Struthio camelus: one gene and its partner. The protein of the gene in region 2 purifies or fractionates together with the protein of the main gene of each other region. This does not show direct contact. Links are inferred from orthologs where the notes say so. Each region holds a gene or a part of one and is shown on either strand. Other genes may lie near its edges.

Region 1 (3,746 bases), on a different chromosome or scaffold from region 2:
TGCATGGCAGCTGCCAGTCTTTTCTGTTCACAGAAGTTATTTTATAATTCATATAAAGAAGGTGAATTTTTTAAATACATAACAATGAAAATTAAAACATACAAGCCAATACCTTTACAGTTTGAGCCTCTCTTTGTCTTTGATAAAGTCCAACTATCTTTTTCTTCTGCAGCCATCTCAAGCCTTCCAATATTTCACCACCTAAAGAGGGTTCCACCAAAATACTTTGTTCATAACCACTCAAGCATTCTTTTGTTTCGTTACTGTTCTCTTCTTCACTTCTTGCATGGACACAGATCTGCAGCTGATCAGAGTCTCCTCTCATCAAAGTAAAAGTCCTTTCATGGAATTCCTCAGTTAGACTTTGCTCAGGAGGAAGATGAAGAGCAAGTTCTCCCAGCAAAACTTTCCAGGAAGCATCCTCACGGTATGGCAAGATCATAATATTTAGCTGTACTGATACAGGAGTCAATACGGAGCACGAGTCTTCCTCGTCATTAGCTGTCAAAAATGTAACGGATTTTGAACTACTGTGCTCTTTTTGAACAAGGTCTTCATCAACACTGTCATCGTTTATAACAATGAAGGACGTGGAGGAAGTGCTTGGACCTGGAAGGTGGTCCTCATCAGTCATATCATCATCTAATGTTATCACCTCATTTCTCCGGTCTTCATGCATATTCCAGCAGAGCTGTTTCTTCTTCTCCTCATCTACTTTTGCCGGGGGTGCGCGTTTCCGACGACTACTCATTTTGTCCTTTCTCAACAGTGTTTCCAATCTCTGAGAGATCAACTCATACTAGTCAATGATAAATATTACAAAAATACCCACATTCAAATTTTACTGTGCAGTCACTGTGAAACTTGTAAAAGTTTTGGACATAGCCATCTATGCTAAAGAAATCTAAATGCTCAGTAGCCACTTAGTTTTACACAGTAATTTATGTGCCAATGCCAAAACATTAAATAAAGCTAGACACGGAGCATTTCTCTCATACTATATCTTACCGTTTTGTCCGATGGCTATAGACTGAGATCAACAAGAATGCTGCATTTCATAGGTGCTACTCAGAACAGATCTCCTGTTTCTGAGCAGTTCACAGGTGAGTGCCTTAAGCATTGGTCTCCAATGCCAGCCTGACCCTACAAACACTTGAGTATTTATACAAGTGAAACAACTCCAGTAGAGAGATTAATAGACAAAATGCACCTGGGTACTAACAGGTACACTCACAAATGAAGTCAGGTCAGGTCCACACTGTGGATGCAGAGTTTTTTTTACCTTATTTGTAGGTTTCTTTTATATTTTTTCTTAAGCTGTATTCATAGATAAACCCAATTATAATTCATCTAATACATTAAAAAAACGCAATTTTGGAAAATTTCACTAGAGCTGTAAAAGAAACTTTTCCAGAAAGAAAAGGAGAATTTTTTTTCCCAAAAATCTTTACTACGTTACATCTATCTAAAGTTAATAAAAACCATGTAACGTATGTTTGGAAGCCAGCATTCTTAGTGACAGCTGACATTTACCAGTCTCATAATTTTTCACCAAAAAAAAAGAGACTTTATAAACTCTATAAAAAGTTAAAAAAAACCATGTAGTTACAGTGGAGGATAACCTTACCAATTACTTCAAGAATTCACAAATCTTGCTATGTTTGAATTTCAAATATAACAGAATTAAGGAAAAGAAAACACCTCTGTTTCTCAAAACACCACTCGTGCATACTTAGCTGTTGCTAGTAAACACAGCAAATCCCAACAGCGAGCATAGATACTGTAAAATTGCACTTAAACCAAATAAAAAAAAATATATTCTTTCTACTAACCAGATCTGCACGTGCAGAGAATATAACTTTAAGGTATAAACTAGACAGACCCACTCTATTCAAGCAGATTCAAAACGCCACGGCCACGATCGTGTCCACCAGGTAAAGCAACAACCCTGCCAGCAGCAGCACGTGACAGCGCCTGTGCCGGCCTGGAGACTAGCACAGCGCACTCGGATGCTATCCTTACCTTCCGGGCCCGCGTAGCGGAGGCTCCTCAGCGGAGGAAAGCCGGCACACAGCGGGCAGGCCGGCGCTCCGCCCGCCGCTGCGCTCCCAGGGCTCGGCCAGGGCGCGCTCTCCCCAAGGCGAAAAGTTACGTGAAACTTGCAAAGGGCACCCGAAGTTTACTTCTCAGGAATCGATATTTTCTCTCCCGAGGTCTCCATCGCACCGAGCTACAAGGGAGATCAGACACACCGCGCTTTGCCCGCCCGCCGCCGCAACCGCTGGCCAGCGCTCACCCCCCCCCCCCACCCAAAGTTACCGCACACCCCGCGAGGCGTGCGGAGAGGCAAGAGATGAGAGCACGCCGGGAGCCAGGCCAAGCCGCCTGCCGCCCGCCCAGGCCGCCCGCTCGGCGGAGCGCGCCCGCCGCCCGAGCCCGGCACGGCCGCAGGACCACCCGCGGCCGGCCGGGGAAGGCCGCCCCGCCGCGCGCTGCAGCCAGCGGGTCAGGGGCCGAGCACTGCGAGGCGGCGCAGGGGCTGGCTGCCCATCGCCCTCCCGAGCTGGCCCGCCCCGCCGCGGCTCCTCCGAGCCCTGGAGGGGCGCAGAGCCGCCGCCGCCGCCGCCGCCAACCCTCGCTGCCAACGGCCGCCGCCGCGGGGTCGCCCCTCCCCTCCCCCAACGTACCTGGGTGACTCGGCGGCGCGCGCCGCCCCCGCCCAGGGCCGGCCGGCCGCCACGCGACGTCGGCGGAGCAGCCCCCCCGCGCAGCGCCCGTGGGGGTGGAGGGGCAGGGGGCGCGCGACCCCGCCGCCCAGAGCAAAGTGGGAAGGGCCCTCGCGCGGGGGGCGGGGGGGGAGGAGGAGGAGGAGGTGGAGGAGGGTGGGCACGCGGCTGCGCGCGCACCCGGCCCGGCCGGCCGGCGCCCAATCGGGTCTGAGGAAGGCGACAGTTCTCCCCGCCCCTACGCCAACGCAAGGAGGAGCGTGAGGGCGTGGCGGGGGGCGCACGCGCAGGCCGGCCCGCGCCGCCGCAGCGGAGCAAAGCGGGCGGGGACAAGCGGCTGTTTGCCCTCACTAGGGCGGGGGCGGGGCTGAAGGAGGAGCGGGAGCGAGGCGGCGGCGTCGGCGGCCTGGGCGGGGTGCGCATGCGCACGGGCACACCGGCCGCTGGGGCGGCCCCCGGCCTGCGGCCCGATGGCGGGAGCGGTGCGAGGCCCCGCGAAGTCCCGCCTTTTAGCCCGGTTTTCTCCAGGAAAACATTTTGACATAAGCCTGCTGTTTCGGGAGAGGGAATGCGCTTGGTTATAGCCATGAAAAATAAGGCTAAAAAATCCTCACGTTTCTTTTCTAATGTTGTTCCTTTATTTTCCACAGATAGTCATAAGAAGAATAGTGGATAAATCCCATTTAGGGGCAAAATAATGACAGGTTTTGTCACGAGCACTCGTGCCAGAAGCATTTGCATCGTTGCTTTAAAAGCTCTTTCATATTTGAAAACCATCAAGAGCAGAGGAGGTACTGTATTATTTCAATAGCCAATCACAGACTGAAAAGAATGAGCTGGAGAAATGATTTCCTCCGAGTAGCAGTGATGATGGAAATTTTGAGCCAATCCTTGAACCGAAATATATTTTCAAATAATAAAAAAAAGGCTATTAAACATGTGATTCATCAGCAATTTGCACTGCAAAAAAAGCAAAAAAAGTCCAATGAATTGTTGACTGCAATTGTCACTTGAATAGAA
Region 2 (3,746 bases):
GTTAGGCAACTGCACACTAGCTATCACAAGATGATTTTGTTCATCTGAAGTATGGGTCCCCAGGACTAATCGGTGAATACTGAAATCTTTGCCCTCAGGTCTGGAAGAGAAGAGAATTACATGAGAAACAAAAGAAAGGGTTTACATAGACACTGAGCTTATTACGACACATTTTTTTTTTGTTGATTACAGCTTCTAACACTAGTAACACCTTTTAGAGTTACCCTTGCTCTCCCTGCTCCAAATCCTCTTCCTTCTGAGGAAGATCACTTACTCTAACTCCAGACAGATCTCAACTTGTAAGTCTCATAGCACAGTCCCTATCTCTAAATATCAGAAACAGATCCCCACCATTCCCTTGCCTTCTTTTAAGAGGCATTTGCAACGCTCCCATAGTAAAACTCTGAGGCATGTGAACATTAACTGCAAGCAGAACATTGGTCTGGAAGCTTAGGACAACGCCATGGTTATACTGCACAAGATAAGTTGTCCACAGCCTTTTGGTGCTGAAATTATGTTCACCCTTGTTTTTGTGGAGAGGGTTTTTCTGCTTCTAAAGGGTAGGGTGAAGCTGGAAAAAGAAAAGCTCCAAAAATCAAATGAATGAAAGTGCCTTCTCAATGATAAAGACATTTTTCCAAATTAAAAATGCCTATACTGCTTCTCTCTCCAGTGTTCAGTCCTCACCTTGCTCTTGGTAAGGCAAGGGAGCAAAAAGCTGATTCAAACCAAAAGCAATCCTATACGGTCTTACTTGAACAACAAGCAATCCTAAATTTACTCCTATCTCTTCCTCTTTAAAAAAATGAAAGGACCAGTTTACCTCGTTACATCAGGAAGCCATTGAGCAGTCAAGCTGGGCCATTCCAGAGCATGGGTCATTACCAGATCATATAAGAAGGGAGTATTCTTTTTCCATATTTTATATTCTTCATTGATCACACGTTCTTCCACTGCATCATCAAAGGCTGCTAAAGTTTGGGTTTTTTTTTAAATGCATAAAGTTAGCCTTTATGAACACGTTCAAAACATACACACAAACCTGTGAGCGGACATCAAACAACAAGCTAACTACAACATCACACTGGTTTGCTGGTACACTACTCTATTAGAGTAGTTACTAAATCATTCAAAATCCTCCGTTACACACGATAATCTTTGTTTCCACACATACGGCTTTGAACTAACCTTGATTATGTCAAACTGCATCATCTTAACACAAGAAGCATAGCAAAATTATGGAATATCGTGCCACAGGATATTGCAGAAACAAAGATTTGTGCATAGAAGATGAGTAAAGGGGGGAGGTCCAGCAACCATTGTTAAACACAGCAGTCCAGGTGCAGCCTTGACCTACTCAATTCGCAAAGTCTAGCAACCTACCAAGGCTCGTTCTGCGTTAGTATCTCTCACGCAGTTTCCCCGACCATCTGCTGCTAGCCTCTGCTAGCGAAGCAAGTCTAAGCAGACCTTTGGTCTGGCTCGGTTACGGTTTGCGCTGCTGAAGAGCAGAGGCGGCACCCGAACCGCGGGGACCCAGGCACCGCGGCTGGGGGGGGCCGTGACAGGCCCTTTGTTTGCCCTAGGCGCACGGCACGGCGGCCCGCCCAGGGCACAAGCCGAAAAAGACCTTCCCGAGGGCCCGCTCCGTTTCGACCAGGCCGCTCGACTCCCAGCACGCTGTCACCCTCCTCGGGAAATAAATAAATAAATACATAAATAAAATAAAAATAAGTAAATGAGTCCCCTCCTCCTTCAAACGCCACCCAGCCTGGCGCGGGGACAAGCGGCTGGAGGAGGGGGGGGGGGAGAGACCTCGGCGGCCGGGACACCGCCTCGGAGGCCGCGCGGCCCCCCCCCCCGCCTCACGGCGCGGCGCGGGGGGGGGGGGGGGGGCGGACGCCCCGGTGGCCCCCGCGCGCCCCCTGGCGGCCCCGCCGCGCCTCGCGCGCTCCCCTCAGGCCGGCGGCCGTTGTTGGGGGGGGGGAGATGGGGGGGGGCTGCCCCGCGCCTCACGGAGCCCTGAGGGGAGAAGGCCGCGCCCCGGGCCCTACCTTCCTTGTCCGCCATGGCGGGGCGGGGAGGGGGCGCGGGGCGGCTCCGGTGCGCGCGCGCGGCGGCGGGGGCGGGCGGGCGGCGCTGGGCGAGGCGGGCGGCCGGCTGCCGGGCTCGCTGCTCCGACCCCTCCGGCCGCGGCTCTATTGTTTCCTGCCCCCGCTGCGTGCCGCTCCGGCGCCGCGCACCCCTTCGCGCGCCAACGCCGGCCAATCGCCGCCGGCCGCCGGGCCGCGGCCGCCAATCCGCGCGCGGCACGGGGCGGGGACAAGGGGCAGGCGAGCGCGCTCGGCGGTCACGTGGGAGGGGGGCCGGGGAGAAAGCGGGGGAGGAGTGGAAGGTGCTGTTGAAGCTCCCGTGGGAGCCGCCATTTTCCGGAGGGGAAGCGGGCGGGTGTAGCGCGCCCCTCGCTCAGCCCTTAAAGGGCCAGCACGCAGACCGGAGCCGCCGCCGCCCCCCAGCGCTTCACCCCCCCCCCCCGCCGCCGACCGGGCCCCGACGGCTCCTGAGCGAGGCTCCGGCCCGGGACCGGTGCCGGGAGCACCGTTGTGTGGGGGGTTCCGGCCCAGCACAACCCTTCCTCCCCAACGGGTGGCCCAGCAACCTCCAGAGCATCCTCCTGCCCCCTCTTGGGTTATTTATTGCCGATAATTACTAATAACTTCCTTTTTTTTTTTTCCCATAAATCCCTGCAGAGACGGGCCATTAGACAACCAGACCGGTGTATAAGCCAAGCCTGATTAGCCGCGGATAACCTGGCACGATCAGTTGTGGATCTGACCGGCAACAGTCAAGGAACAGGTTTAAAATCAAAATGTACGCACGCCTGGTTTTGTTCCCCCCCCGAGCAGCACGAGCCTCCCAATTTCAAGCTCTTTTCTGTCCCATATAGGCCTAGTTGCTTCTCAGAAAATGGAAGTTGGGAGGCCTGTACCATCTTGTCATATCCAAGACTGGCAATAAGAACCGCAAGTTGGCCCTTACACTGAAAATTGGGGGACTTGGTGGTGTTATGTGTCTTCTATAAATCTATCGTTCCCATTATTTGGGGAAGCTGTGAAAAAATCTTACTGTGCACAAAAATATTAAGAAGGAGCAGGAATGACCACTTTGTATGAAAACTTGCAGAGGTCTAGTCTGAATGAAATTAACGGGCCTGAAGTTGATTCGATTATGAAGTTTGTGTCTGATAGATTTACAAATGAAAAACTTGTATGAAACTCAGGGTCTGGTCTGAGAATTTTAAGCAGAGAATTGATACAGTTCTTTATTTAAAAAAAAAAAAAAGACAAATTTTGCAAGCAAATGAATATAGGAAAACCTCTGTGCTTATATGAGAGTCATATTTACCATGCATGTGGATGCCAGCATTGAAGCTTTAAATGCTGTCCCTGTCCTAAGAGGTAATTAAGCTTTTTTCTAGAGAAAAGTCATACTTGAGGGCTACAGATCTTTCCTCCTGTCACGTCCTGTGGTTGGGAGGCAATGCATATTTCAGATTGCTGTGTCACATTAGCGGGCTGAGTAGGCTCAACAGTAACATGTAGTAAGAGCAGAAGTTACGTGAAGCGTGACAGTTTAATCCATTTTACTGCTGTTTGATTATTTTTCATTATTACAATAGTTTATTATTTGACAATGAATCAAATGCGTGGTGCTGTATGCAACAGAGAAGCTGAAACATGGTTCCT

What was found.
Region 1: the proteins of RBBP4 (region 2) and SHPRH purify together in Homo sapiens (affinity purification with mass spectrometry; 4 studies listed by BioGRID and IntAct, with this or other methods). This does not show direct contact. The link is inferred for Struthio camelus from reciprocal best matches to the Homo sapiens genes RBBP4 and SHPRH.

Annotation. Positions count from the first base shown.
Region 1 is NC_090944.1:83,859,114-83,862,859, reverse strand, and holds the start of SHPRH (E3 ubiquitin-protein ligase SHPRH), read right to left. Parts: upstream 2,823-3,746; 5' UTR 2,688-2,822; intron 2,231-2,687; 5' UTR 2,023-2,230; intron 782-2,022; 5' UTR 752-781; coding exon 113-751; intron 1-112. UniProt on the Homo sapiens protein: E3 ubiquitin-protein ligase involved in DNA repair.
Region 2 is NC_090964.1:8,466,027-8,469,772, forward strand, and holds the start of RBBP4 (histone-binding protein RBBP4), read right to left. Parts: upstream 2,229-3,746; 5' UTR 2,071-2,228; coding exon 2,055-2,070; intron 1,878-2,054; exon of another isoform or gene 1,384-1,877; intron 972-1,383; coding exon 824-971; intron 101-823; coding exon 1-100. UniProt on the Homo sapiens protein: Core histone-binding subunit that may target chromatin assembly factors, chromatin remodeling factors and histone deacetylases to their histone substrates in a manner that is regulated by nucleosomal DNA.